4 linked regions of the Stegostoma tigrinum genome follow. The protein of the gene in region 4 purifies or fractionates together with the protein of the main gene of each other region. This does not show direct contact. Links are inferred from orthologs where the notes say so. Each region holds a gene or a part of one and is shown on either strand. Other genes may lie near its edges.

The links.
Region 1: the proteins of sf3b1 (region 4) and prpf4 purify together in Homo sapiens (co-immunoprecipitation; 3 studies listed by BioGRID and IntAct, with this or other methods). This does not show direct contact. The link is inferred for Stegostoma tigrinum from reciprocal best matches to the Homo sapiens genes SF3B1 and PRPF4.
Region 2: the proteins of sf3b1 (region 4) and snrnp200 purify together in Homo sapiens (co-immunoprecipitation; 4 studies listed by BioGRID and IntAct, with this or other methods). This does not show direct contact. The link is inferred for Stegostoma tigrinum from reciprocal best matches to the Homo sapiens genes SF3B1 and SNRNP200.
Region 3: the proteins of sf3b1 (region 4) and prpf8 purify together in Homo sapiens (affinity purification with mass spectrometry; 5 studies listed by BioGRID and IntAct, with this or other methods). This does not show direct contact. The link is inferred for Stegostoma tigrinum from reciprocal best matches to the Homo sapiens genes SF3B1 and PRPF8.

What each region holds. Positions count from the first base shown.
Region 1 is NC_081382.1:5,538,338-5,546,162, forward strand, and holds the start of prpf4 (U4/U6 small nuclear ribonucleoprotein Prp4), read right to left. Parts: upstream 3,008-7,825; 5' UTR 2,508-3,007; coding exon 2,356-2,507; intron 1,366-2,355; coding exon 1,181-1,365; intron 1-1,180. Other genes in the region: anaphase-promoting complex subunit CDC26, read left to right, coding at 3,314-3,394. UniProt on the Homo sapiens protein: Plays a role in pre-mRNA splicing as component of the U4/U6-U5 tri-snRNP complex that is involved in spliceosome assembly, and as component of the precatalytic spliceosome (spliceosome B complex).
Region 2 is NC_081393.1:10,285,762-10,292,729, reverse strand, and holds the start of snrnp200 (U5 small nuclear ribonucleoprotein 200 kDa helicase), read right to left. Parts: upstream 3,002-6,968; 5' UTR 2,915-3,001; coding exon 2,870-2,914; intron 2,106-2,869; coding exon 1,942-2,105; intron 1,109-1,941; coding exon 937-1,108; intron 111-936; coding exon 1-110. UniProt on the Homo sapiens protein: Catalyzes the ATP-dependent unwinding of U4/U6 RNA duplices, an essential step in the assembly of a catalytically active spliceosome. Plays a role in pre-mRNA splicing as a core component of precatalytic, catalytic and postcatalytic spliceosomal complexes.
Region 3 is NC_081380.1:24,517,606-24,525,610, reverse strand, and holds the start of prpf8 (pre-mRNA-processing-splicing factor 8), read right to left. Parts: upstream 3,006-8,005; 5' UTR 2,880-3,005; intron 1-2,879. UniProt on the Homo sapiens protein: Plays a role in pre-mRNA splicing as core component of precatalytic, catalytic and postcatalytic spliceosomal complexes, both of the predominant U2-type spliceosome and the minor U12-type spliceosome.
Region 4 is NC_081360.1:31,792,667-31,799,978, reverse strand, and holds the start of sf3b1 (splicing factor 3B subunit 1), read right to left. Parts: upstream 3,015-7,312; 5' UTR 2,945-3,014; coding exon 2,917-2,944; intron 1-2,916. UniProt on the Homo sapiens protein: Component of the 17S U2 SnRNP complex of the spliceosome, a large ribonucleoprotein complex that removes introns from transcribed pre-mRNAs.

The sequences.
Region 1 (7,825 bases), on a different chromosome or scaffold from region 4:
GTGGTAGTCGTGGAAGCAGAGTCATTAGTGACATTTAAGCGACTGCCGGACATGCACATGGACAGCAGTGAATTGAGGGGAATGTAGGTTATGTCATTTTAATTTTGGATTAGGAATATTCCACGGCACAACATCGTGGGCCGAACGGCCTGTACTGTGCAGTACTTTTCTATGTTCTGTGTTCTATCAGACATGATCTCTCAGAGCGTGGAACAAGCTCAAGGTCCTGAATTGCCTACTCCTATACCTGTGTTTATAAAAGTACACTGGCTGCTTAAACACTGGTTTTTATGGAGGCTGTGGATATCGGATTCTATTTCTTCAATATTTTAAGCAGATACTGTGCAATAAGACTCCTGAAAATGGTATACCCAGAGAATGTTACGTAGACAATGGTTCACAACGGGATACAAAATGTGACAGAGTGGTTCTGAACTGACCTTGCTGGTTTGAAACAAATGCTAGAGGCGAAAAAAAGACTTCTAAACTTAAGTGGATGGATGTAAATCATCAACTGTTTCAGAAAACGAAATGCATGTGCAAAGAAATTGTTAGCAGTCTCAGAGAATGTGGGATTTTGAAATGCAAAGCTTTGCTGTGTATTTTTTGATTTCAGCCATTCGCACGTTGTGTAGGGTAAGGGATTAATACTGTCAATAATTGTTGTCACATACGCAACTTCACACAGATAAGAGATCTATAAAATGCTCTCAACATTTGCTTTGAACAGCCTGAATATTTTCAATGCAATTTCTTTTGAAAATCTGTTAACTGTACATTCATTATTTGCAGGTATTGGGCATTAACTTGGACTTCCTTGCATCCCCACTGAAGAGTCAACATACAGCATATTTCTACGGTATCCAGAAAATCATTTAACCTTATAAGATCAGACTATCAGGCCATCGTCACTTAGCTATTTGTGTGAACTTGTTGCACATAAATTTCTTAATTACAACTGTTGCCATTTCCAGAAGTGTTTCAAACGTTATAGACTTTCTGCACTTTTGCATCCAAAATAAAGCCCAATTCATCTAAAATTGTTACTTATTGCTATTGTTCCCAACCAGCTTTCTAAAATTTCTCAGCAATCTTTTCAGCAGCTCCACATTTTTTGACTCAATCAGATGGAGTAATTATTCAATGACACAGTTAAAGAAACTGAAGCATCATCACTTACTGCTGGATATATTAATATGTCCAGCTTCTACCCCAGCTTTCACAGCTTCTTTCCCCAGGTATCCTGCATCTCCTTTGGAAATCCTCTCTTTCTCCTTCTCTTCAAGGCTTCCATAATAAATCCGAGATTTCTTAGGCAACGGAACATCATCATCATCAGACATTCTTGTAATATGGGGCAGGAAACTGTGGGTGTAGAAAATGCATAAAATTAACAAACCGTTTTGACCAGAGATAAGAGATGAGAAAGACAGGTTGTTTGACTCTAGCTCTAATCTCCAAGTACATGCATCTGCATGCTTAAATTGGGGTGTTGCTCATAGGAATTCTGGTTTTTGATGCCTTGGGAAAGAAGTTGGAACAGGAAGAACTGAACGAGTGTTGATTTCTAGCCCAGGAGAGAGAATCTTTGGATCATGCTTTTGGAGCTTCACAGGAACAAGCAGGAAATGAGAGAGAATCAAAGACAACAGAAGCATCCATGGAATAAAATCAAGAAAGGCTCTGGCAGATGAGAAAAAGGATCACAGAAAATTTGGAACTGTCTCCCCAAATCAAAAGCAATGCACCTTAGGGCAATTTGAGCTATTGAATTAATAAGATCATTATATTGTCAAAGTACCAAGAAAAGTTGAGCAAAGGTAGATCTTGGAGTTGAGGTACAGATTAGCCATAGCATGTCTGAATACATTGATTAAAAAATATCTAAATGAATAGTAAGTGCAATAGGGCTCAAAGGAGTGAATGATCTACTTCTATTCCTAACTACAGATAACAAACAAGTATCAGATGATCTCTTATAAAAAAGTGTGAAGCTGGATGAACACAGTGTGTTCATCCAGCTTCACACTTTGTTATCTTGGATTCTCCAGCATCTGCAGTTTCCATTATCACTCATCAGATGATCTCTTGTTCCTTACAGCAGAAGATGGAAATGTGAAATTATCCACTTTGGTCTGAGTGGCAAAGCTGAACATATTTCAAAAGTAAAAGCAGATGTTGACATTAAGGTGAACTTGAGGGTCATCATACCCATCTTATAAAAGATTAATTTGTAGGTATATTATAGATATTTTGCTTGGGTTTTTAAATGTTATTTGAATATTGAAAGACTAACATTTCCAAATTTGTCAATGATACCAAACTTAGAAACAGTACTAAAGATAACAATGTTACCAATTGCACAGGGTAGCACTGTCTCTCAGCGCCAGGGTCCCGAGTTTGTGGAGATTGCACGTTCTCCCTGTGTCTACACGGGTTTCTTCCGGGTGTTCTGGCTGCCTCCTACTCCAAAGAGGTGTAGGGTGGGTGGGTGCTAAATTGCCCATCAGGGATGTTCCGGTTAGGTGGGTTAGCCATGGGAGATGGGGATGATACGGGAGGGATGCTCGGTGTGGACTCGATGGGCCGAATGCTGGCACACGGTACGAATTCTATGATTCTAACTACCAGTCGGAGAATTGTAGGCCGGCAGATTGGGATTTAACAAGCGATTCATTTTGGAAGAACGGTTTGGGAGAAGGAAATAGATACTTAATGACTCAGTGCTAAAGAGCGCGCAGAGAGACGGGGAGGGGAGAGGACTTGGTGCCAACGTGCACTAAACTCTTCAGGTGGCAGCATACACAGGGCGTGATTAACCAAGCACATGGGAGTTATGAACTCCCTAAATAGAAATGTTGATGGAAAAAGCAGGGGATTTACGGTGAAGTTGAATAAAGTTATGAGCCACAAGTAGAGCATTGTGTGTGATTTCTGATACAGTACAGCCTCCCCTCCCCCACAAGCAGCCACAATGACCGACTTCTCCCCAACCTGACAATATAAAGGCCCGGTTAAGGACGGGGAGTTGACGGCAATAGCCAAGGCCTAGCTTTAGGCTATCTCCTGTCTCTATCTCTCCTTCCCCCAGCCTCAGCGCGGCCTCTTACCAGCTCCTATACCGTCGTTAAGCCGACACTGACTGCGTCCGGGGCAAAGGGTAAGGAGGCGGCGCACAGGCTGCTGGGTGTTGTAGTCATTTCCACGCCGCCGGCTCAGAAACTACATGTCCCAGTGTGCCATGCCGTGGTGACGCCAGGTGTCGCCTGTAAGGTCTGAAGCGACCAAGTTGGACGTGACTTCTAGCGGCAGAATGTTGCGGAGGAAGCCTACTCGGCTCGAACTGAAGCTGGACGATATTGAGGAGTTTGAGAGTATGAAGAAGGAGTTGGAGGTGAGTGTCAAGGTGACAGGAGTTTGGCCAGGGCTGGCGCCAGGTTCGCTCCGACAGAACCTCAGCGGGGCCTAGGCCTGGGCCTGGGCCTCACCGTCCGCCTCCAGAGCCAGACCCACCATCGCCTGGACACGGCACCGACAAAGGGACCTGGAAATCACTTCAGTCAGGCGGCAGGAGACCCGAACCACACCACCACCAACCCCCCCCTCCCCACCACCAACCCCCCCCCCACCACCACCACACACACCACATTCCCCCACCCCCCAACACATACCCCACACCCCCACACCCCACATGCACCCCTGCCACTTGCACACCCCCTGCACTTACTCCCACCACCCCCACCCTGGCACAGGCACTCACACCCAGTGCCCACCCCCCCCATACTGCTGCCACTTGCTCGCACCCCCATCCCCTGCACACGCTTTATATCCTTCCTAGAGCATCTATACATTGGAGCATTAAGCATCCTGCCCTGTCCATCCCTGAGCCACGTCTCTATAGTTGCTATGATATCCCAGTCCCATGTTCCCAACCATGCCCTCAGTTCATCTGCGTTATCTGTTAGGCCTCCTGCATTGAAATAAATGCAGTTTAATTCATCCGTAATAGCTCGTTTTCTGCTTTGTTCCTGACTGTCTGACCTGTTCCTTTTCCCATCTCTACCAGTTTTGGGGACTGTCCTCTTTTCTCACTATCTCCCTAGGAAATCTAGCAAATCTCCCCAGCAGAGTATTAGGCCCTTTCCAATTCAGCTGCAATCCATCCTTATGCAGGTCACTTGTACCCTAGAAGAGATTCCAGTGATCCAAAATTGTGGATCCTCTCCATCACCAGCTCCTCAGCCATACATTTATCTGCTGTATCCTTCTATTCCTATCCTCACTAGCTCATGGCACTGGAAGTATTCCAGATATTACTACCCTGAAGATAACAAAGTGCGGAGCTGGATGAACACAGCAGGCCAAGCAGCATCTCAGGAGCACAAAAGCTGACATTTTGGGCCTAGACCCTTCATCAGAGAGGATGCTCTCTGATGGAGGGTCTAGGCCTGAAATGTCAGCTTTTGTGCTCCTGAGATGCTGCTTGGCCTGCTGTGTTCATCCAGCTCCGCACTTTGTTGTCTTGGATTCTCCAGCATCTGCAGTTCCCATTATCACATTACTACCCTGAAGAACCTTTTTTTTAAAAAATTCCTGCCTGTCCTCTTCAGAATGATTTAAAATTAGGGATATTGAAACTGTATTAGACGTGCAGTGATATTTTGGAGGTCTCAGAATTGGAAAAGGTTATGAACGTCAGGAGGGTCCAGGCTGTGGAGGGATTTGAAAACAATAATGAAGATTTTCTATAATAAAGGTATTGTTTAACTAGTAGTCTGTGTGGGTCAGCTAGTACAAGAGGGATTGGTGAATGCTGTACGTTAGACTGCAGGCATCAGAGACTTCAGTTACCTCAAATTCAGTGTTTAGAATGTGGGAGAGCAGCGAGGAATGCATTACAATAGTCAAGTCTGAAGATAACAAGCATGGATAGGGTTTCAGCGGCAGAAGAGCTGAAGTAGTAATGGAGTCAGACATTGCAACAGAGACGGCAGTAAAACCAAGTTGCTGCAAGAGTTCAAGATAACAAAGGGTGAAGCTGGATGAACACAGCAGGCCAAGCAGCATCTCAGGAGCACAATATCGCTGCTTCCATTTAATCTTGGGTGTCAGAGTAGCAAGAAGGCAAAGTCAAGACAGTGAAGGGTTCAAGTAAGGTAGTAGTGAGATAGATGTGAAACTGATTGCCAAGGGACAGTGTACAGTGAAAAATAGAAGGGGGCCAAAGATAGATCTCTGGGGGACATCTGAGATCACTGTAGGAATGGAAAGAAGTCATTGCCAATGGTTTCCCTGGCTATGATGCAATAAGAATGGGATCAGGCCAGTCTACTCTCACCCACTGGACAACAAAGGAAAGTAATTGGAGGAAGATGGCTACCATGTTGAAAGCCACAGCCAGGATGAAGAAAGATAGTTTACCTGTGGTGTGATCACAGAAGGTGTTGTTTGTGACTTGAATAAGAGCCATTGCAGTGTTGATTGGAAGGATTCAAGTTTTGGAAAAGATGGGCACAGATTTGAGATGCCACAAACACTTCAAAGGATTTTGGAATGGGGATGGTCAGAGATAGGGCAGCAGTTTGCAAGCAGCGGGAATTAAAGGTATTTTTTTGATGAGGGAAATATGATGGCACATTTGAAGGAGAGAGGGTCAGAACCAGAAGAGATAGAACCATTAGTGGTTTTAGTTAATGTGTGAGCAAGGAAGGAAAGTTGGTGGTCAGTAATATAGTGGGAATAGGGCTGTGGGAGTACAAGATGGCTCTTACGAACAAGATGAACTCTGGTGAGCAAAGAGAGGAGAGACATTACAAAGGAAATAAATTTTGGCTGAGAAAGGGAAACCATAGATTCCACAATCACTTTTGGTAAATGTTCCTGCACCATTAGGCTCTTAATGAATATCTGGTTCATTTATTAAACTAATATGGCCTGCCTGCTTGTTGGTTCTAGTGCATATTGTTGTAAAACAACTGCCCTGAACACACTGAAGAAATGTATTGATTTTCTAACATGAGTTTATTTGCTTTGTCCAAGCTAGGTGAGTAAATTACAGGGGACAACGATGCAAGGGGGATATAGACAAGTTGTGAGTAGGCAAACATTTGACAGTTGGAATATAATGTGGGAAAATGTGAGGCTACATGCTTGGGCAGGAAGAAAAGAATATTATTTGAATGAGGAAAGACTACAGAAAGCTGCAGCACAGAGCATTTTAGGAGTCCTCGTGCATGAATCATAAAAAAATTATCAAGTTCAGCTATTAATAGTGAATGCATATGGAATGTTAGCCTTTATTTCGGGGGAGTGAAATATAGAGGGAACTCGTTAAAACTATATAAGTACTAATCGGACCACACCTAGAATGCTGTGGAACAGTTTTAGTCCCCTTATCTAAGGAAAGATATACTGGCATTGGAGACAGTCTTAAGGAGGCTCACTCGGTTGATTCCAGGTATGGAAGGATGTTCTTCTGGGAAGATGTTGAGCACGTTGAGTCTGTACTCATTTGATTTGAGGAGAATGGAAGGTGACCAAATTGAAACATACAAGATACTTTGGAGGGGGGCTTGAGAGTGTAGATGTGGAAAGCATGTCTCCCCGTAGGGGAGAATCTAGGACCAGTGAGCATAATTTCAGAATAAGGGGTCACCCATTTAAGACAGGTGAGGATTGAGCTGATCTTTCGATTTTTTAGGAATGACTCGTGCTGTGAGTTCCAATGAGTGTACCATATTTGATTTTACACAATGTCCCCTAGTAATTGACCCTTCCACCCTGCAAACAACCCTTATACTTTCCACTCTATCCATGCCGTTCACAATCTTCTAAACTTCTCTATCAGGTCGTGACTCAGCCTCCTGCATTTTAGTGAAAACAAACCCAGTCTATCCAACCTTCCTTTATAGCTAAAATCCCCTATGCCAGGCAACATCCTAGTAAGCCTTTTCTGTACCCTCTCCAAAACATCCACATCCTTCTGGTGGTGTGGTGACCAGAACAGTATGCCTAACTGAAGTTCCATAAAGCTGCAGCATAACTTGTCTATTCTTATACTCAATGCCCCTTTTAATGAAGTCAAGCATCCCATAGGCCTTTTTTACTACCTTATCTACCCTTGCTGCCACCTTCAGTGATCTGTGGACCTGCACACCCAGATCTCTCACATTCAGGGTTCTGACATTCACTGTTTAATTTCTACCTGTATGTGACGTTCCAAATTCATTGCCTCACACTTGTCTGGATTAACCTCCATCTGCTATCTTTCTGCCTCTGCCTCCAACTGATCTATATCATGCTGTATCCTTTGACAATCCTCCTATCTGTAACTCTACCAATCTTTGTATCATCTCCAAACTTACTAATAAGACTAGCCACGTATTCCTCCATATCATTTATGTGGATCACAAATAGCAGAAGTCCTAACACTGATCCCTGTGGAACACCACCACTCACAGCCCTCCATTCTGAAAAGCGTCCTTCCACCACTACCTTCTGTCTCCCATCTTGCCAGCTCATCCCTGATATGTGACTTCACTTTTTGCATCAGTCAGCCATGAGTGACCTTGTCAAAGGCCTTCTGAAGTCCATGTAGACAACATCAGCTGCTTTTCCCTTTATTAAACATCTTCGCAAGCTCCTCAAAAAAACTCAGTTAACTCGGTGACACGTGACTTCCTCCACACAAAACCATGCTGTTTATCACTAATCAGTCCATTTGCTTCTAAATGTGTATAGGTCTTGAGAATCTTTTCCAATAATTTCCCTACTGCTGACGTGAGGCTTACAAGCCTGTAATTTCCAAGATTATCCCTGTTACCCT
Region 2 (6,968 bases), on a different chromosome or scaffold from region 4:
AACTGTCCCAGGAGCATTTCTATTTCCTTCCGTCGCTCTTTGTCACGCAGTTTATCATTTTTCAGCACAGCGAGGACCTCATCTGCTGCTCCACAGAGAATATCACGTGGCTAGAAAGAAAAGCCCAATCAATATAGAAAAATTGCCAGCTAATGCAGATGCAATACGTCTCCCTGTAACAATTTATCTTCCTTGTTCAACCTCTAAAGTGATCATTGATGAATTACTGCTCACGCTGTCTATGGCACATGCATCTGTCATATGGAAGTAGGGCAGGCAAATCAGCATGTTAGCTCAGTGGTTAGCACTGCTGCCTCACACTGCCAGAGACCCGGGTTCAATTCCAGCGTTGGGCAACTGTCTGTGTACAATTTGCACATTCTCCCTGTGTCTAACTGGGTTTCCTCCAGGTGCTCCGGTTTCTGCCCAGTCCAAAGATGTGCAGGTTGAGTAGATTGGCTATGCTAAATTTCCCGAAGTGTCCAGGGATGTGCAACTAGGTAGGTTAGCCATGGGAAATGCAAGGTTAAGGGAATGGGATGGATCTCAGTGGGATGCTCTTTGGAGGGGTGGTATGGCCTCGATAAGCTGAATGGCCTACTTCCACACTGGCCGTGGTACAGAACGCCTCAAAGAGCAAGAGTCAAAGAAATCAAAGGAACGGAGTCAATCAACTTTGACTAAGTCTCAGGTACAAATCAGGTTAAAAGTAAAAGAACCTAAAGGAAGACAAATGCATGCAGTGGAAGTGCTGAAACATCAACATCCCAAGAAACAAGCCAAGACAAATGGAAACCATCCCCTTTGCATAAAGTGGCATCCTGTCTGTGATGTAGTAGATCTTAAAATTAGTTAATCATTAAAGAGATCAGTTATGTCCATCACTTTTAGTAGCAGGGGATCTGTCTGGGATATTTTTTCACTGGAGACTCTCACCTGGTCACCAAGTGCAGCCTGAATGAAACTGAGCAACACCTCGTAGGTCTCTCTGGTCTCCTTTGTTTTGGGTTTGTACACAATTCCAACCATTTCATCAATGCCCTCTGACAACAAAGTGTATCCCCTCATTTTGTTCATGTCATGTCGGTCTTCATCACGCTTTCTCCTTCTGCATGAGACAAATTCAAAACATTTTAACAGCCAAGAAATTCAAGTAAGAATTCTCACTTAACCAGAGCACAAATATATATTTGTGCACAAAACCACCAATCTAAAGGATGGGTTGAAAAGTGCCCAATCTGATTACAAATAATCTCCCCTGTGCAGAATAGGAAGCTCCAAACGACTGAAATTTGACATGCTCAACTGCAAACCTCCCTCAACTACTATTACAATGAGTAAAGAAAGCCTTGGCACTTATTCAACATTTCAGTACACCACTGAAAATGATAGACAGGAGCCGGACTGGACTAGTCGCTTTGTGGAGTGACCCTCTCTTTTGCCAATTCCCCACATCCCTCAATTCCCCGAGACACCGAAAACCTGTCTATCCTATGAATGAGTAGATACCTGTTCTGAACCTTCATGGTTCTTTTGAGTTAAGAGCAAGATATAATCTGTGGAATGTAAAGACTAGGATGTGGACTGTTGAGAAACAAATGCTTGTAAATGTTCATAATGTTGCTTACATTAAATAACACCATGCACCAAAGTCATATGTTTCCCACCATGAGGTGGAATGATTATTTTACTATCACCTCAGGTCTAAATTTCTTGTTTAATCTGACACCTTTGCTCATTGTGAAGCATTAAAATTTTTCAGTAAACCAAAATATCAAGTGCTTTGAACTGATTGACCCACCTTGTCTGTTTACCTGCATTTTACCAAAAAACATTTTATCATTCAGGATTAAACTTTTTTAGTTCATAAAGATAGCTTATTAGTATAACTCTGCTCCCAACTCCAAATAAACTGTGATATTTGACAAGATATGTCCTTACTTTGCTCGTCTTTCCTCCTGCAACTGTGGCTTTGTTCTCTGAGCTTTGTCTCCCATTCGCGACCCTTCGAGCTTTCCAACCAGAGACAGCACTTCTCCTGTGGGCTCATCTCGTCTTGTTCGGTCGATCAGTGAACGATCTGCTTGCAATACAAGGTTGGAGTTCTGCAAAAAGAATGAAGAAACTAGTCTTATTCTCATATGGAGCGGTTTGCACAAACCTGTCGGTATTGCAAGATAACAAAATGTGGAGCTGAACGAATACAGCAGGAACTTCTGTGCTCCTAAGATGCTGCTTGGCCTGCTGTGTTCATGCAGCTCCACACTTTGTAATCTTGGGATTCTCCAGCAACTGTGGTTCCCACTATCTCTGTCAGTATTGCACTTGGGTGTAAACCATGCAAAATTTCCAGTCCTTGAGCAAAGTTGGGAATTACACATATTTCCCTGTATCCCTTCCAAAATTACTGATTTTAGAGGATTTTCACGAGAAGTTGAGGGTCGATTGGCATTTCCAAAAAAAACCAGCATTCATTTTTGTCGAGAATCTGATTTCAAAATTGCCCAATACTAATTTTTTGTTGTGGGATGGAACTGGGACATAAATTGTGTACTCATTTAAGACAAAGAATGAAAATAAAAAGCCATTAGAAACAATTCGATAACAATGACAAGGGCTCTAGAGACGTGTTCCTAGGTTGCCTGGAGGTCCCTTCAATTTCCTGATTTCAGCTCAACAGAGATGCCAACCCAGTTCTTATGTCGCATTCACCACAGCAAGGGCTAGGCCTCAACCTGGCGGTGTGCTTAACAGTGGCACTGTACTCGCCCAATTCAGCTCTGGCCATGCAAGCCCGCGCACGACTGTATCCAGCCTGTCTAGGGGATCAAACCGAGGGTTATCGATCCTCAACACCGACAGCACTCACCGCTTTGTACTCATACTGCAGGCTACGAGCAGTAACATCCGCCATTGCTGCTTGGCGATGCCTCCGCCGCCGGATGGCACTCAAACCTGACCTCCGGCCGCCGCGGATTCGCCTTCCGGGTCAAAGCCCAACGGTCTCCATGGGAACGGGAAACCCGCATCGTTTCTCAACGCCAGTTTAATTTTCCCTTTGGCGACAGGTGAGTTCCTGAAACATGGCCAGTATTGTTTACTTTTTATTTATTTGTTTAATTCTGTCGCCACCGTAAACAACGGTTATCTCACCCCCTTGGAAGATAGCAACCGTTGGCTGTCTCCCGCCATTTTCGACACTTTACCCACAATTTCTTTTACCCTTCCCTCCATCTGGGGGGAGTTCGGGCAGTTAAATTGGTCCGATGCTCTTTACTGCGAGGGGCAGAAACCGGGCATCACTGCTTATCCCGCATCAGCTGGAGACTTGGCCAACTGAAGTCAGGACAGGGAAGGTTGAATAGGACGCAATGAGCTTTTTGACACCATCAGAGGGCACCACCTCACCCCAACCTGTCAAACATGAAAATAGATGCCGGCGTTTTCTGTTAGTTCAAGCTGCTAGAGTTATTCATACTGTTTGCTTCCAGGCCAAAAAAAGGCTTTTCAGTGCTGGGTTCGCCGCTTTAATCTCTCTGTTCCCTACTGCACCTCTTAATATCACTTGTCTTCTGGACGAATAATAATCTCTCCAGATCTCCCGACAGCAATTTTCTCCCTTATATTTTCCAGCGATCTCGGCTTCTTTTCTCCTGTAACATGCATAGTCTGCAAGAAAAATTTTGCTCAGTGCAGTCGTTTTGTCTTCATTCTTAAAACCGTAAGACCATTCGAAAGAGGAACAGGGGTAGGCCATTCGGCCCTCGAGTCTGCTGCGCCACTGGATGGGATCATGATTGATCTTACACTCCTCACATCCACTTTCCTGCCCTTTCCCCAAAACCCTCGATACCCCTACTGATCAAGAATGCATTTGAGCCTTAAATATAGGGTTCTATGCAACACTGGTAGTGTCCCTATTCTCTCTGCCCGGAGACCCAAGTTCACGTTCCACCTGCTCCAGTAATAACCTCTCTAACAGGTTGAGTAGAAAATCCCTCCACAAGGACTGCTGTGTGCGGCAAGGAATTCTGAAGATTTGCAACCTTTTGAGAGAAAACATTCTTGCTCAAATCAGTCTTCAGTTGCCATTCCTGTATTCTGAGACTATGCCCTCTAGTCTTTGACATTCTCATGAGAGGAGATGTCGTTGCAGGAATTACCCTGTCAAGCACTTTAAGAATCTGATATGTTTCAATGACATCACCTCTCATTCTTCTAAATTTCAGTGAGTAGCTGTGGAGGCAAAGTCATTGTGTTTCTTTAAGACAGAGATAGATTCTTGATCAGTACAGTGATCAAACGTTATGGGGAGAAGGCAGTAGAATGGATTTGAGAAACGTATCAGCCACAATTGAATGGCAGAGCAGGCACAGTGGGCTAATTCTGCTCCGATAACTTACATAATGGTGCTTCCCCACCACTGGTTCCATATCCCATGAATTTGAACCCGTTTTTCCCATACCAATCTTTGAGTCACATGTATATGACTTTAATCTCATTGATCCTGTGCCAGCGAGTTTTGAGAAGATTTGTAGGTCAGGTTGAGGTTCTGGATGTGAGTTTGCTCGCTGAGCTGGAAGGTTAGTTTTCAGACGTTTCGTCACTTTTTTATTTGAAAAAATATACTTGATTCATAAGATGTACAAAAAATAAAACATATTTACACACCTACCCAGTCATGCAAGCCGCTCCGGGTGACCCAGGGGGTACATACACCAACTAAAGGAAAAAAAAACAAAAGAAAAAATAAAGCAAAGAAAACACCCCAGCAGTCGTCACCCCCGCACAGTCCCCGTTGGCTCCCTGACCAGTTGGGGAAGGCGCCAGCTGGGCCCATTTACCAGATACGGCCCTTTTTTCTATTCTGGATGAGGGGTTTCATACTGTGGTCTTGCCCACCGCGCCTTGGCGGCGGCTGCCCCAAGCTTTAGCGCGTCCCTCAGCACGTAGTCCTGGACCTTGGAGTGCGCCAGTCTGCAACACTCGGTCGGGGTCAGTTCTTTCAGCTGGCAGACTAGCAAGTTGCGGGCAGACCAAAGAGCGTCTTTCACCGCATTGATGGTCCTCCAGGCGCAGTTGATGTTGGTCTCGGTGTGCGTCCCGGGAAACAGCCCGTAGAGCACGGAGTCCCGCGTCACGGAGCTGCTCGGGACAAACCTCGACAAACACCACTGCATCCCCCTCCAGACCTCCTGCGCATAGGCACACTCCAGAAGGAGGTGATCAACAGTCTCGTCTCCCCGGCAGCCACCTCAAGGGCAGCGTGCGGTGGCGCAGAGATTCCGGGCATGCATAAAGGATCTCACTGGCAGAGCCCCTCTCACCGCCAGCCAAGCAATGTCCTTGTGCTTGTTTGAAAGTTCTGGCGATGAGGCATTCTGCCGAACGACTTTAGCAGTCTGCGTGGGGAACCACACGACGGGATCCACCCTCTCCTTTTCCCGAAGGGTCTCGAGGATACTACGTGCTGACCGCTGCCTGACGGCCTTGTGGTCAAAGGTGTTTCTTTCAAAAATTTCTCCACGAAGGACAGGTGGTATGGAATGGTCCAACTACTCGGAGCGTTCCGCGGCAACAAGGCCAGGCCCATCCTTCGCAACACCGGGGACAGGTAGAACCTCAGTAAGTAGTGACACTTGGTGTTTGCGTACTGAGGATCTACGCACAGCTTGATGCAGCCGCACACAAAGGTAGCTGTCAGGGCGAGGGTGGCGTTCGGTACGCCCTTTCCCCCCATTTTCCAGGTCCTTGTACATGGTGTCCCTGCGGACCCGGTCCATCCTCGACCCCCAAATGAAGTGGAAGAAGGCCCGGGTGACTGCAGCGGCGCAGGTCCAGGGAATAGGCCAGGCCTGCGCCACATACAACAGTACCGAAAGCCCCTCGCACCTGACAGCCAGGTTCTTACCCACAATGGAGTGGGACTGGAGCGTCCACCTGCCCAGCTTCTGCTTCAATTTGGTGATACGCTCCTCCCAAGTCTTAGTGCACGCCCCAGCTCCACCAAACCAAACACCCAGCACCTTCAGGTAATCTGTCCTGACGGTGAAGGGGATGAAGGAGCGATCGTCCCAGTTGCTGAAAAAGATGACCTCGCTCTTACCCCTATTGACTTTGGCACCCAAGGCCAGTTCAAACTGGCCGCAGATGTCCAATAGTCTACTCACCGACCAACGATCGGTGCAGAAGACATCGTCCATGTACAGGGAGGTCTTGACCTGAAGGCCTCCGCTGCCTGGGATAGTCACGCCCTTCAGGCTCACGTCCTTCCTGATGGATGCAGCGAAGGGCTCCACACAGCACACGAACAAGGCAGGAGAGAGCGGGCAGCCCTGCCTGACTCCAGATCTAACAGGAAAACTGTCTGATTCCCACCCGTTGATCGAGACTGCGCTAACGATGTTGGCGTAGAGCAGCCGGATCCAATTGCGGATGCCCTCCCCGAACCCCAATTTGGAGAGGACGTCCCTCATGTAAGCATGAGAGACCCTGTCGAAGGCCTTCTCTCGGTCCAGGCTGACGAGGCAGTTGTCCACCCGCCTGTCCTGTACGTAGGTGATCGTATCCCTGATGAGCGCGAGGCTCTCAGCGATCTTCCTGCCTGGCACAGCACAGGTTTGGTCAGGGTGAATCACCGACTCCAGGACAGACCTGACCCGGTTGGCTATGACATTGGCCAGGATTTTGTAGTCCACATTCAATAGTGAAATGGGACGCCAATTTTTAATTTCTTCCCTCTCCCCTTTCTTCTTGTAAACGAGGGTGATGATGCCCTTCCTCATGGACTTGCACATTTCCCCTGCCCGAAGCGCACTATCGTACACCTCCAGCAGGTGCTGGCCGACCAGGTCCCACAGAGTGGAACACAGCTCGACCGGTAAGCCGTCGCTTCCAGGAGTCCTATTCCTCTCCAAGGACTTGAGGGCTCTGGTCAGCTCGTCCAGGGATATCGGCCGGTCCAGCCA
Region 3 (8,005 bases), on a different chromosome or scaffold from region 4:
CCGGCTCTGATTACATATAAATACGGTCACATATATTGACATCCAAATCTCATATTCACACAACTTGAGCTGCAATCCACAACAGTAGATCAGAGGATTGAAAAAAATTTTCCATTTTTAGCAGATGCTTTTGATCCATAACATTTCACCCAGATAAATACATTTAGTATGCTAAACGTTTTGCCCTATTATCTTAATGCATACCCGTGGATGTACATGCAATAAACTGCTTTAATAAAGCATTCAACATCTGTATATTCAATTGTTTGCACTTGAAACATCCATTTTGAGACTTTCTTTGAATGTTTTTGAATATACAAATTGGGAGTCAGACTTTTAGATAATATTTTGTAAAAATAAAATCAACATTTCTCATGGAACACTGATGTTCAAGTTACTATGTCAGCTTCAGTTGCTCAGATTTTGAAATGAGCCAAAAGATTAAGGAATTGCCTTTCAAAATGGAACATGAATTCATAATCCCATATGACAGTCATGTCGAACAAAGCATAAAAACCTGGAGCAAACATCATGCTCCCTTGCATAGCTTGAACTGATACACGCAACTCTTTTGGTGCTCTCAGCAAGAGACTTCTCTTGACCAATCCCAAAAAAAAGTTTATTTTTCTCATTGTGTTGTTTTAGATTTTGGTACAGAATGGCTGATGCATTTATTAATGTACACATGCTCTCTGAAATGATAGATAAAACTAATGAAGTCAGATTATTTTAAACAACACCATGCAAACCTTAACCATATTACAAAACCCAAGCTTCTCTAAAAATACTGCCTGGCCAAGTGACAGCATTTCAGTAATCTTCGATTCCCAGAATCAGCAACTTCTATACCAAACATGACCTGCATCAAATTTTGATGTCAACACACACCAACTCCCTAAGGACCAAGCACGTTTTTGGGCAACAGTCGTAATATTTCAGAACTCTGCAGCAAGTGGAAAATCTTGTCTATGGCTATTCAGTAGCTCAACCTTTGGAAGAAAATGGAACATCCAGGATTTTGACAAGATTGTCTAGCATTATAGAACATAGAACATAGAACAGTACAGCACAGAACAGGCCCTTCAGCCCACGATGTTGTGCTGACTTCTTGGAGAAGTTATGATAAACAAGTTACATTTCCAAATAAACAGATAACAAGGTATAGAGCGGGATGAACACAGCAGGCCAAACAGCATCATAGGAGCACGAAAGCTGACGTCTCGGGCCCAGACCCCACATACCAAAACCAACATGTGTGACCATCTGACTGAGATCCAGATCATTACCCTCTAGGTCATAATCTTGGAACTGCCTTTCTACCAGCACTGAAGGTATCCCTATACCCAATGACTGCAGCAATTCATAAAGGCAGCTCAACTCCACCTTCTCCAGATCAATTAGTGATGGACAATAAAAATGCTAGCCTAGTCAGCAACACCTAAACCCCATCAATTACATTTAAAAATGTACACTTGAAAGTGGGATTTAAATCTATGCCTAAAATGTTATTAAGTTTTACAATCATAAAATACAGGAGGAGGCAATCCATGCAATTGTTTGAGAGAGCTGGGTATAGATTGTGACAAAAGATCAGCCTGACATATAACTTTTTGTAATCATTATGCTGCCTAACCCATTGCCAGCATCCACAGAAGTTTTTTGTACCAATGAGTCCCACTTGCTCCCAAAATTCTTCTTTTTCTCCTCTCCCTTATTAAGATTCCCTTTGAGATACAGGCTCAAATTTGCCTGCATCCTCCTTGTGAATAGTCTTACAGATTATGCTACATTGGTCTAAAATATATTTAGCAAGAAATATGTGCAGTATTAATCCTGTTGAATAATAAACTATGCAAACAGATCACGTTATGCTCTTCTGGAGTGAACGCTGGGGTTGATGGAAGAGAAGTTAGTGGACAAAGGGGAAGAAAATTTACACTTCCGTTGAATGGTAGAACCTAAGGAAATACCCAGGATCACGGGAACCTTGGTATGCAAGTCCATATATTCATGTAGGCAGCAGGTCAGATGTTATGAATGATATCAGGTATGTATCTTTATTATTCAAAGTATTGAATACAACAGGAAGGTGGCTATAATGGAGTCATACATATATATATTAGTAAATTATTATACATATTAACCAGAATATTTGAGAAACCCCTCAGCTATGAAGATAGACTAGATAGGCAGGAGTTGTTTTCCTTATAGCAGCGAAGGCTGATTGGGGAACCGTGATCGCGGTGTATGAAAGTTGAGGGACGTAGGGAGAAACACAAGCCCTTAATAGAGACATCAATAACTAGGGGGCACAGATTCAAGTTAAGGATCTGGAGGCTGAAAGGGAATTTAAGGAAAAAGTTTCATCCGCCCAGAGTGTGATGGGTACCTGGAAGGCACTGGCTAAATGATGGTCGAGGCAGGAACCATCAAGACATTCAAGAAGCATTTAGTCGAGCATTTGAAACGCCATCGCACACAAGGCTACGGGCCAAATGCTGGAAAACAGGATTGCAGTGAATAGATAATGAAATGTGAGGCTGGATGAACACAGCAGGCCCAGCAGCATCTCAGGAGCACAAAAGCTGACGTTTCGGGCCTAGACCCTTCATCCTAGACGTGGGATGCACAGACACGAACAGCCCTTCTTCCGTGCTATTAAAAAGAAAACCCTACGATTTCTCCTGGAAGGTTCCAGTCCAGCGAGTCCATATTTGAGGTGTCCTGGACCGATTCCTCCCTCGCCTGCCGAGCGCCACAATAGAAACCCATTAGGCCGCACGCCGAGCCGAGTCCCTGGGGCTCAACCTCCACTCACTTCCAGCCTAAATCCCGACCCATATGCCCAGAGCGCACAGAAATGCCTACGCTGAACGCACCTGCGACGACAGGAAAAAATGCGAGCGACGATTTTTTTTTCTCCCCGTTGGCCTTGCGTTAGGCCTCAGGGCCTCGGCGCCATTAACTCCGCCAGCAAAAGTGGCTCCAGCGCAGGGTGCCCGGATGCTGAGGGCGGGATTTCCGCTGTCCGTGTGAGCCTCCCATTGGTCAGTCAGTCGGATTGATGACCGCTACAGCCACTCAGAACACAGAACTCTCCAGGTAGACTTTTGAAAACAAGTGCATTGAAAGAAGATTAAATCAGACTTTACAGTGAAGTGCACAATGATTGTGCTACCACCTGAAAATAGGAAAAAGAGTTTAAAAAAAAGCTGGATTCCGTGTCAACTGTTTCAATTAAGAAACATCAGTGCACAACCAAGGCAATGTTGAACATTTATCTTAACAAAAAATGTCTCAGATACTATACAGGGGTGTATTGGACACTCAGTTCAAACATGAATACATGATAGGAACAGGAGGTGCGACCAAAAGCTTAGGGAGATGATAAAAATAGATCTTGAAGGAACTAGGAAAAGCAAAGAGATTAAAATCGGAAATTCCAGAGTGCAGTAGCAGGTTGGCTGAAAGTTCTAAGTAAGGGTCACTGGACCCTAAACATTAACCCTATTTTCTCCTTCACAGATGGTGCCAGGCCTGCTGAGCTTTTCCAGCAACTTTGTTTTTGTGGATGAAAGCAGAGCTACCTTGCTGCAGCTAAGAGTGGAGGAATACACAAAAGATCAGAATTAAAGGAATGGCGATGTTGAAGGGAATTGTAGGATTGGAAAAGTTTACGGAAATCAAGATGGACAAGGGATTGATTGGAATTTTAAATTGGATGCATTAATGCGCATACAGTAAATTACATTGAATTTTGATAAGGTCCCATAAGAGCTTAGCTTGTAGAATTAAAGCACATTGGATAGGGGGTAGTGTACTGTGGTAGTGTTTGGCTGACAGGAAACAAGATAACAAAGTGTGTAGCTGGATGAACACAGCAGGCCAAGCAGTATCTCAGGAGCACAAAAGCTGACATTTCGGGCCTAGACCCTTCATCAGACAGGGGGACGGGAGAGGGTTCTGAACTAAATAGGGAGAGAGGGGGAGGCCGACCGAAGATGGATAGAGGAGAAAATAGGTGGAGAGGAGAGAATAGGTGGTGAGGTGGGGAGGGGATAGGTCAGTCCAGGGAGGACAGACAGGTCAAGGAGGCGGGATGAGATTGGTAGGTGGGAAATGGAGGTGCAGCTTGAGGTGGGAGGAGGGGATACGTGAGTGGAAGAACAGGTTAGGGAGGTGGGGACGAGCTGGGCTGGTTTTGTGATGCAGTGGGGGGAGGGGACGAGCTGGGCTGGTTGTGGGATGCATTTGGGGAGGGGGAGATTTTGAAGCTTGTGAAGTCCACAGTGATACCATTGGGCTGCAGGATTCCCAAGCGGAATATGAGTTGCTGTTCCTGCAACCTTCGAGTGGCATCATTGTGGCACTGTCGTCTAAGGAATGGGAGGAGGAGTTAAAATGGTTCGCGACTGGGAGGTGTAGTTGTTTATTGCGAACCGAGCAGAGGCATTCTGCAAAGCAGTCCCCCAAGCCTCCGCTTGGTTTCCCCAATGTAGAGGAAGCCACACCGGGTACAGTGGATACAGTATACCACATTGGCAGATGTGCAGGTGAACATCTCCTTAATATGGAAAGTCACCTTGGGGCCTGGGATGGGGGTGAGGGAGGAGGTGTGGGGGCAAGTGTAGCACTTCCTGCGGTTGCAGGGGAAGGTGCCGGCAGTGGCAGAGAAACATGGGCCTTTTTCCAAGTGGAAGGCAATTACTAATGAGCTACCACAGGATCCTGTGCTGGGACCTCAACTATTCACAATGTAAAGGAATGAGGAATCTACATATAATGTCTTCAGATTTATACAGGACACAAAGCTGAATTGGGGAGTGAAATGTGAGGAGAATGCAGAAATACTCCAATGTGATTTGGACAAGTTGAGTGAATGGGCAAATGCATAACAGATTAAGTATAATGTGGATAAATGTGAAGTTATTAACTTTGGTAGCAAAACTAGGAAGGCAGATTATGATCCAAATAACAATAGATAGAACATTGAACATGACAGTGCAGTACAGGCCCTTTGGCCCTCAATGTTGTGCCAACCTGTGAAACCAATCTGAAGACCATCTAACCTACACTATTCCATTATCATCCATATCAATCCCATTCCGGGATTATGATGTTTCAGTAAGAACAGAGAAGATGGTAAAAGGGGGGGGAGGTGTGGCATTGTTGATCAAGGACAGTATTACAGTTGCAGAAAGGATGTTTGGGGACTCGTCAACTGAGGTAGTATGGGCTGAGGTTAGAAACAGGAAAGGAGAGGTCACCCTGTTGGGAGTTTTCTACAGGCCTCCGAATAGTTCCAGATATGTAGAGGAAAGGATAGCAAAGATGATTCTCAATAGGAGTGAGAGAGACAGGGTAGTTTTCATGGGGGACTTCAACTTCCCAAATATTGACTGGGAACACTATAGTTCGAGTACTATAAACGGGTCAGTTTTTGTCCAGTGTGTGCAGTAGGGCTTCCTGACACAGTATGTAGATAGGCCTTCAAGGGGCGAAGCCACATTTGATTTGGTACTGGGAGTAGGTGAGCACTTTGGTGATAGCGATCACAATTCTGTTATGTTTACTTTAGTGATGGAAAGGGATAGGTGTATACCACTGGGCAAGAGTTATAGCTGGGGGAAAGGCAATTGCAATGAGATAAGGCAAGATTTAGGGAGCAGAGGATGGGGAAGGAAACTGCAGGGGGTGGGCACATTAGAAATGTGGAGCCTATTCAAGGAATAGCTCCTGTGTGTCCTAGATAAGTATGTACCTGTCAGGCAGGGAGGAAGCTGTAGAGTGTGGGAGCTGTGGTTTACGAAGGAAGTGGAATCTCTGGTCAAGAGGAAGAAGAAGGCTTATGTTAGGATGAGATGTGAAGGCTCAGTTAGGGCGCTTGAGGGCTACGAGGTAGCCAGGAAAGACCGAAAGAGAGAGCTCAGAATAGCCAGGAGGAGACATGAGACGTTGTTGGCGGATAGGATCAGGGAAAACCCTAAGGCTTTCTATAGGTATTTAAAGAATAAAAGAATGACGAAAGTAAGATTAGGGCCAATCAAGGATAGTAGTAGTAAGTTGTGTGTGGAGTCAGAGGAGATAGGGGAAACACGAAATAAATATTTTTCGACAGTATTCCCTCTAGAAAACGACAATGTTGTTGAGGATAATACTGAGATACAGGCTACAAGACAAGGTGGGATTGAGGTTCACAAGGAAGAGGTATTAGAAATCCTACAGAGTGTGAAGATAGATAAGTCTCCTGGGCCGGATGGGATTTATCCTAGGATCCTCTGGGAGGCCAGGGAGGAGATTGCCGAGCCTTTGGCATTGATCTTTAACTCGTCGTTGTCTACAGGAATACTGCCAGACGACTGGAGGATAGCAAATGTGGTTCCCCTGTTCAAGAAGGGGAGCAGAGACAATGCTGGTAATTATAGACCAGTGAGCCTTACCTCAGTTATTGGTAAAGTGTTGGAAAAGGTTATAAGAGATAGGATTTATAATCATCTAGAAAAGAATAAATTGATTAGGGATAGTCAGCACCGTTTTGTGAAGGGTAGGTCGTGCCTCACAAACCTTATTGAGTTCTTTGAGAAGGTGACCAGACAGGTAGATGAGATTGAACTGGTTGATGTGGTGTATATGGATTTCAGCAAGGCATTCGATAAGGTTCCCCACAGTAGGCTATTGAACAAAATGCGGATGAATGGGATTGTGGGAGATATAGCAGTTTGGATCGGAAATTGGCTTGCTGAAAGAAGACAGAGGGTGGTAGTTGATGGGAAATGTTCATCCTGGAGACCAGTTACTAGTTGTGTACCGCAAGGGTCGGTGTTGGGTCCACTGCTGTTTGTCATTTTTATAAATGACCTGGATGAGGGCGTGGAAGGATGGGTTCGTAAATTTGCAGACGACACTAAGGTCGGTGGAGTTGTGGATAGTGACGAAGAACGCTGTAGGTTGCAGAGAGACATAGATAAGCTGCAGAGCTGGGCTGAGAGGTGGTAAGTGGAGTTTAATGCAGACAAGTGTGAGGTGATGCACTTTGGTAGGAGTAACCGGAAGGCAAAGTACTGGGCTAATGGTAAGATTCTTGGTAGTGTAGATTAGCAGAGAGATCTCGGTGTCCATGTACACAGATCCTTCAAAGTTGCCACCCAGGTTGACAGGGCTGTTAAGAGGGCATACAGTGTTTTAGCTTTTATTAATAGAGGGGTCGAGTTCCGGAACCAAGAGGTTATGCTGCAGCTGTACAAAATTCTGGGTGCGGCCACACTTGGAGTATTGTGTACAGTTCTGGTCACCGCATTATAAGAAGGATGTGGAAGCTTTGGAAAGGGTGCAGAGGAGATTTACTAGGATGTTGCCTGGTATGGTGAGAAGGTCTTACGAGGAAAGGCTGATGGACTTGAGGCTGTTTTCGTTAGAGAGAAGAAGGTTGAGAGGTGACTCAATTGAAACATATAAAATAAGCAGAGGGTTAGATAGGGTGGATAGGGAGAGCCCTTTTCCTAGGGTGGTGACGGCGAGCACGAGGGGGCATAGCTTTAAATTGAGGGGTGAAAGATATAGGTCAGATGTCAGAGGTCGTTTCTTTACTCAGAGAGTAGTAAGGGACTGAAACACTTTGCCTGCAACGCTAGTAGATTTGCCAACTTAAGTACATTTAAGTCATCATTGGACAAGCATATGGACGTACATGGAATAGTACAGGTTAGATGGGCTTCAGATTGGTATGACAGGTCGGCACAACATCGAGGGCTGAAGGGCCTGTACTGTGCTGTAATGTTCTATGTTCTATATGTTTATCCAATGACCATTTAAATGCCCTTAAAGTTGGCGAGTCTACTACTGTTGCAGGCAGAGTATTCCACACCCCTACTACTCTCTGAGTAAAGAACCTACCTCTGACATCTGTCCTATATCTATCACCCCTCAATTTAAAGCTATGTCCCCTTGTGCTAGACATCACCATCCTAGGAAAAAGGCTCTCATTGTCCACACTATCTAATCCTCT
Region 4 (7,312 bases):
TGCAATTTTCTCATTCAAAAAGGTGAGTTTGCTCGCAGATTAAGTCACGGTTTCACCCAAAAACTAACAAAGTCCAAACAAAATCCTAAACGTAGTCCCCAAAAACACGTACCCCAGTTGAGTTCCTAGCCAGTTGCTGCAGTACAGCTAAAATAGTGCCATTGACCAAACATGGAAAATTGCCTAATATATCCGGTTTATTAAAAGCAGGACATGACAATCTCACGACTACACTTTCAGTAACAGGAGACTGATGAAGGTACCATCAGCAGCTTGTATGATTTGACAGCAATGAGTCCTGTGAAGCACAAGATTCCAGGTTCAAAGTCCACTCCAAGATTTGAGCACAAAAATCATGGCTTGACACTCCAATCCAAGCCTGAAGAAGTCACAGTCAGAGGTGGCATTCTTCAGGTGAGAAATTACACTGTGGCCCCAGTTGTTTAATTGGATGAGTGTTAAAAATCCCACGGTACTATTTTGAAAAGCAGTAAGGAGGCATTCCCAACAATATTTAAGCCTCATTCAACAACACAAATTTCAAAATTATCCACCCACTATTAGTTCTTGCAAATTAATCACAAAAAAAGATAGCATCCAAGTTCAGCAAGTAATAGGGAAGGCAAATTGGAACGTTGGCTTTTATTTCAAAGAGAATGAATAAAAGTAGGGAATTTTTGGCAAAACTATGCAAGGCACTAGTTAAGACCACAACTATGAACAATGAATCAATGCACCTGACTCAGATTTGACCAAAAAAAGGGCCAGAATGGGAAGCATTATTTACAAATTAATAGAGAATGAGAAGAATTGATTACATTTTAATTAAAATTATTTATTTTGGTAAAATATATTTGTGACATTACTGCTTGCTCGTCAAGACTTGCAAACTGAAATGTTTCAGTCATGAATCCACAGAGACTGTCAATGCCCAGTGTCAAGAAAGTAATTCAGTTGTAAAATAAAAGGTTGTATTATGGCATACTTGAAAATAAAACTCCAGAAGTCAGTATGAATTATGCTACAATTAATAGCACAATATTGGTATCTCAACAGATAGGATTTTGATAATGCAGATTTTGAAAGTATTGAGAATTACTGACACCACAGACTATAGGTTTAAATATCATCCAAAGGCAGTTCACAAAATCCAGAAAACTTACGAATTCCAAAGTTTATCTGTGATCATTTAAATGTTTATAATAAACATCAAGATACTGTGACACTTCAAATTAGACTTTGCAAGTAACTAATATGCCTAATGGTTGCATAAAAATAAAAGAAAACCATTTCTGTCTCAATCTTGTACTAAAGCAAACTTTTCTGGATTATGAGAATCAGAAAACTGAACTATCTGGATGATTTTGAGTTGATTAATGAGAGATTTATCACGTGATTTCTTGGAAAAAGTCAAGGAACACCGAGCTTTTCCACGCTTACTGAAAAAGCAAACAAATTTGGAAAACGCAAACTTCATTGAGGAGTTCAAGGTTAGGGGGCAAAAGTTTAGGGTGAAAGGTTGAATGATTTAAAAGGGATCTGAGATGCAACTTTTTCCACAAGAGTGTAGTGCATTTATAGAATGAACTGTCATGGAAAATGGTAATGTAAATACAGTTATAGCAGGCATATGAATAGGTAAGGTTGAGGGTTATGGGCCAAATCCAGACAAGTGGAACTTGTTTGGGAAGCCTGGTCAGCAATTTCCCATACTTAAAAAAGGTCAATGGATCTGAAACGTTAATTCTGATTTCTGTCCACAGATACTGCCAGACGTGTTGAGTTTCTCTGGCAATTTCTGTTTTTGAATAAACTGGAATCTCATTTGCATTTCATGAAGAAAATTCATACTGTACTTGACTTGAAACGTTAATTCAACCTTTCGGCTGGCGAAAGAAACTGTATTCCAAACACATTCTGCTGTTAGATTTAGTATTTTTCCTTCACGGTAAAATAAAGCAACGATGCCCAACACTATTCATAAGTCATGGTGGCTTTACGAAATGTTGATCAAACGGTTATTCGTTTACTTTATAAACATTTTGTTTTAATGTTTGGATGCGTTAGCACCGTCGCTTAAGGTCTAAAAACGTTGGCGATTTGACAAATCGCCACAGAGCTACGGGAACTTGTGTTAAGCATCCTCAATGCAGCAAGAATTAGGATGCATTTTAAAAATCCAGGACACAGCAACCCAGGCATTGTAAACCACGCACGAAACAGAACAGCGATATGAATGCCAAAATAAGTTGGCTAGTTAGGTGCTTAATTCAAAGACATTGACACCATGACTCTTCCTCACTATCGACAATGCCACTCTTCAGACCATCCACTAGGAAAACACGTGAGCACCGCTATCAACACTTCGTTCCCCATGTAGAGAAACAGATTGGGTTGGAACCAGATCTACCTTCTCAGCAAACTCCACATTAAATCCGGCCACTCTGCAATGATGCAGGCAGTCGCTTTCTTTTTCGATGCTGGCGGCGGATCGTCGTTATTGACAAGGCCGCAGGCAGACTGCGTCAATCAGCCTGCCCGACTCCAACCGCCACAAAACTCAAGCCAACGAAAACCCAACTAAGATCGCGCGTCGTGAAGGCACCCGAACTAAGACAGTACCCCCACCGCCGCCCATTTCGAGAACTGGTCGGTGGAACGGGAGTGTCGGGGTCGCTCGGTCGCTTCTGGCGCCTCTTCCCTCGGCCCTCATTTACGCTCTCAGGAGCGACGCCATTTCCTGACCCAGCCAAGCGCTCGTTCATCAGAACTGCAGCCACATTTCCTACAGCTCACAACCGGAGGAACTACGGACACAGCCTACGGAAACATTCTTGTGACCTCCATTCCGCCCATGTTTTAATTTTAGAAAAAAACTGATAAAAACACCGTCCGACATAATCCCCCCTCAATTACCTTCGTGAGTCTTGGCGATCTTCGCCATTTTGTACAACGGTTGCGAGCGGAACCCGCGATGCTGTGGGTGGGCCCGGGATTTGATTGACAGCAGCTCCTCTGCCCCGGTAGCACCAATGCTCAAAAGTCTGAGCTCACTCTAGGCAGCGCTGTTATTCTCCAAGGGATGTCTATGCCACAAATCAAGGGATGACAGACAAATCACTCCTGTTAACAAAATAAATTGCCAATGTCATGTTGAAAATTGTTTTCTTCTCTTTGTGGATGCCTCACTTCAAACTGCTTTGCAATATTCTTTGGTTTGTTTGAGAATTTCATAGGATATAAAGGAGACAGTCAGTTTTTTGCTGTCACATAGGTGGAATTATTTTTCAACTGTGTAGAGCATGGTGTTGAAACCCATTCTACCTGTGACTTCGTAACACAAGTTTGAAGTTTTCTAATGTTTCTGTAATCATAAAGTGGATGAATGGCACATGAAATTTAATGCACACAAATGTAAAGCACAAACCATTAAACAGAAACTCTACACAATATGGTAAACTGGGAGGTGTAACCACAGCTTATGAATATTTTTTAGCAACAAAAGATTCTCCTCCTTTGTGGTTGATAGGGTCCTGAACCATATCTATCCCATTTCTTACACGCTTTCCATTTCAACCAAAACCATAACAGAGTTCCCCTTGTTCTCACTTTTCACTGTGCTGGCCTCCACAATCAACAGATAATGTCTGAAAACTCCACCACAAACACATCTTCCCCTTCTCTTTCAGTATTCTGAAAGGAATTGTTTCCTCTGCAACAATCCCCAGTACCTTCCCATGAGAGCACAGAAGGTGCAACACTTAGGAGGTCATCCTCTCTTGGCCGTGACCCATGATTTCATTTTTGTCAGGTGAAAATTGGAGTTACTTGTACTTTTTTCAACTTGGTATATTGTACTTAGCAGTTGTAATGTAGTGTCCCCTACATCAGGAAGCCTAAGCACAGGTTTAGTGATCATTTTGCTGAAAAGAAGAACGTGTGATTATGTAATGTCTTCCAAAACTGAGCACTTCCCAAGGTACTTTATAATCAATCAACATCCAATCAAATTACTGTGTGACCTTTAGTTTCAGGTCACTTGCTACTTTAATCATCCATCCCTTTCTGACACTGGCCATTTTGTTTAGAGGTCTCTACAAATTTCAATGATGCTCAACACAAACATGAAGAACAACAGCTCATTTTTCAAAAGGTATCTGTTGATCCACATGCAAATCATGGGCTCTGGTGAACAGGAAAGAAATGGAGATAAGGCTACAATTGGATCAACAATGATCTCATTGCATGGTGGAGCAAGTTTGAGGTGTCTAAAAGTCTACTCATGCTGCCACATTCTCTATTATTAAAATCAACATTAATGACTTTGGATTTTAACCATCATCTCAATTTATTTATGGACAGCAGATGCTGGTAATACACAAGAATCACAGGGAGTAAAGGAGGTTGGTGCCTGAGGTAAAAATCTCCTTTACTGGCAGGGTGGTCTGCAACCCTGTTTTCTTCTTCGCATTACTAGACCCAGGAGAACTTTTTTTTGAGATATTTTCCATCCTCCTCTGCCTCTGCTATTCTGTGTAACCATTTATTTCTCTTCTAGATCCATCTTTTGTTATTTGTCCCATTATCTTTGTAATTCAATCACAAATACAAAGAAAAAGTGTGGATGTTGTAAATTTGAAATTAACACAACAAATCCTGGAAATACCCAACATTCTATTTGTGAACAAAGGAACAGGCTTATGTTTTCAGATTGATGATATTTCATTATTGAGGATTAAGTTTCACCAATTTGAACAGTTAGAATATTGATCTAGCCAAAGAAGTTGAATACAAATCAAGGGAAGCCAGGTTTGAACTCTACAGTCCTTGGGTCAGATGACTGTGAAACTACCTTACCCACTAACAACACTTGAGATAATGCAAATACAAACTATGAGGTGGATTCCTGATGTCAAAGTTTAAACAAATGGTTGAATAAAAAGGGAGTGAAAGGAATATTGCAACAGAATGGGTACAAAATCAGGATTAATTTTTGAGCAAGGAAAACCTCAACGCAAACTAGCAGATCAGAATGATTGGTTTCCATGTTGTGTTTGTGATGTCATTCATAAAAAGTATGCAAAAAGGTGAACTAACAGAGATGAATGGAAAAGCAAATAAAATATCAATATAAAATATTGTTTGCAGTTAAATTATAAGGTAAAACAAGGAGACAGGTGAAAGTTACATCAAGTGAATGGTAAATTTAGGACTGATATGAGGAAAGTCTCACACAAGGAATGATCAACATTTGAAATCAGGGGCCAATTAATATTTAGACATATTCATCTCTTTACCAAGAATCACAGCCAAATAAAGAACGCTTTTAATGTTCGCCATTATGCTGAATAACGGCATATAATTAGAACATAAAAAAGTACAGCACAGTACAGGCCCTACAGCCCACCATGTTGTGCCGTGGAATAATCCTAATCCAAAAATAAAATAACCTCACCTACATTCCACTCAATTCACTGCTGTCCATGTGCATGTCCAGCAGTCGCTTAAATGTCACTAATGACTCCGCTTCCACGACTACCACTGGCAAAGTATTCCATGCGCTCACAACTCTCTGGGTGAAGCACCTCCCTCTGACGCCTCCTCTATACCTTCCTCCTAACACCTTAAAACTATGACCCCTCCTGGCATGTAAATCCTGCCCTGGGGAAAAGTCTCTGGCTATCGACTCTATCCATGCCTCTCATTACCTTGTACACCTCGATCAGGTCACCTCTCTTCCTCCTTCTCTCCAGAGAGAAAAGTCCGAGCTCAGTCAACCTCTCCTCGTAAGACAAGCCCTCCAGTCCAGGCAGCATCCTGGTAAACCTCCTTTGCACCCTCTCCAAAGCCTCCAAATCTTTCCTATAATAGGGCAACCAGAACTGGACACAATCTTCCAAGTGTGGTCTCACCAGGCTTTTGTAGAGCTGCAGCATAACCTCGCTGCTCTTAAACTCGATCCCCCTGTTACTGAAAGCCAAAACACCATATGCTTTCATAACAACCTTATCCACCTTGGTTGCAACTTTGAGGGAGCTATGCACTTGAACACCAAGATCCCGCTGTTCCTCCACAGTGCCGAGAATCCTGCCTTTAATCCTATATTCAGCATTTAAGTTCGACCTTCCAAAATGCATCACTTTGCATTTATCCAGGTTGAAATCCATCTGCCATTTCTCAGTCCAGCTCTGCATACTGTCAATGTCTCGTTGAAGCCTGCAATAGCCCTCGATACTATCAACGGCACCTCCAACCTTTGTGTCATCAGCAAACATACTAACCCACCCCTCACCCTCCTCATCCAAGTCATTTATAAAAACTACAAAGAGCAGAGGCCCAAGAACAGAGCCCTGTGGGACACCACTCAGCACTGACATCCAGGCAGAATACTCACCATCTACAACCATTCTCTGCCTCCTGTCAGCCAACCAATTCTGAATCCAGGCAGCCAAATCACCCTGTATCCCATACCTCCTGACTTTATGAATGAGCCTGCTGTGGGGAGCCTTATCAAATGCCTTGCTGAAGTCCATGTACACCACATCCACTGCTCGACCCTCGTCAACCTGTCTCATGACTTCATCAAAGAACTCAATAAGATTTGTGAGGCATGACCTGCCCCTCACAAAGCCATGCTGACTCCCTTTAATCACGCTATGCTTTTCCAAACAGTCATAAATCCTATCCCTCAGAATTCTTTCCAAAACCTTGCTGACCACAGACTTAAGACTGACTAGTCTGTAATTTCCAGGGATTTCCCTATTCCCTCCCTTGAAAAGAGCAACGACATTTGCCTTTCTCGAATCTTCCGGTACGAGTCCCATGGAGAGTGAGGAAGCAAAGATCTTCGCCAGCGGCTTAGCAACCTCCTTTCTCACTTCCTGGAGTAACCTAGGATAAATCTGGTCTGGCCCTGGGGACTTATCAATCTTAATGTTTGCCTAAAATTTCCAGCAGATCAACTTCCTCAATCTCGATCTGTTCAAGCCTGTTTTCCTGCTCCTCAAAGTTCTCATTCACAACAAGGTCCCTTTCCTTAGTGAAAACCGAAACAAAAACTCATTTAGGGCTTCCCCTATCTGCTCAGACTCCACGCACAAGCTCCCTATGCTATCCCTGATTGGCCCTAACTTCTTCCTGATCATTCTCTTATTCCTCACGTATGAGTAAACTGCCTTCGGGTTCTCCCTAATCCTTCCTGCCAAGCCTTTTTTGTGCGCCCTCCTGGCCCTCCTCAGTCCACTTCTGAGCTCCTTCTGAGCAAGCCTGTAATCATCTAAAGCTGTGCTAGACCCTTGCTTCCTCCACCTTA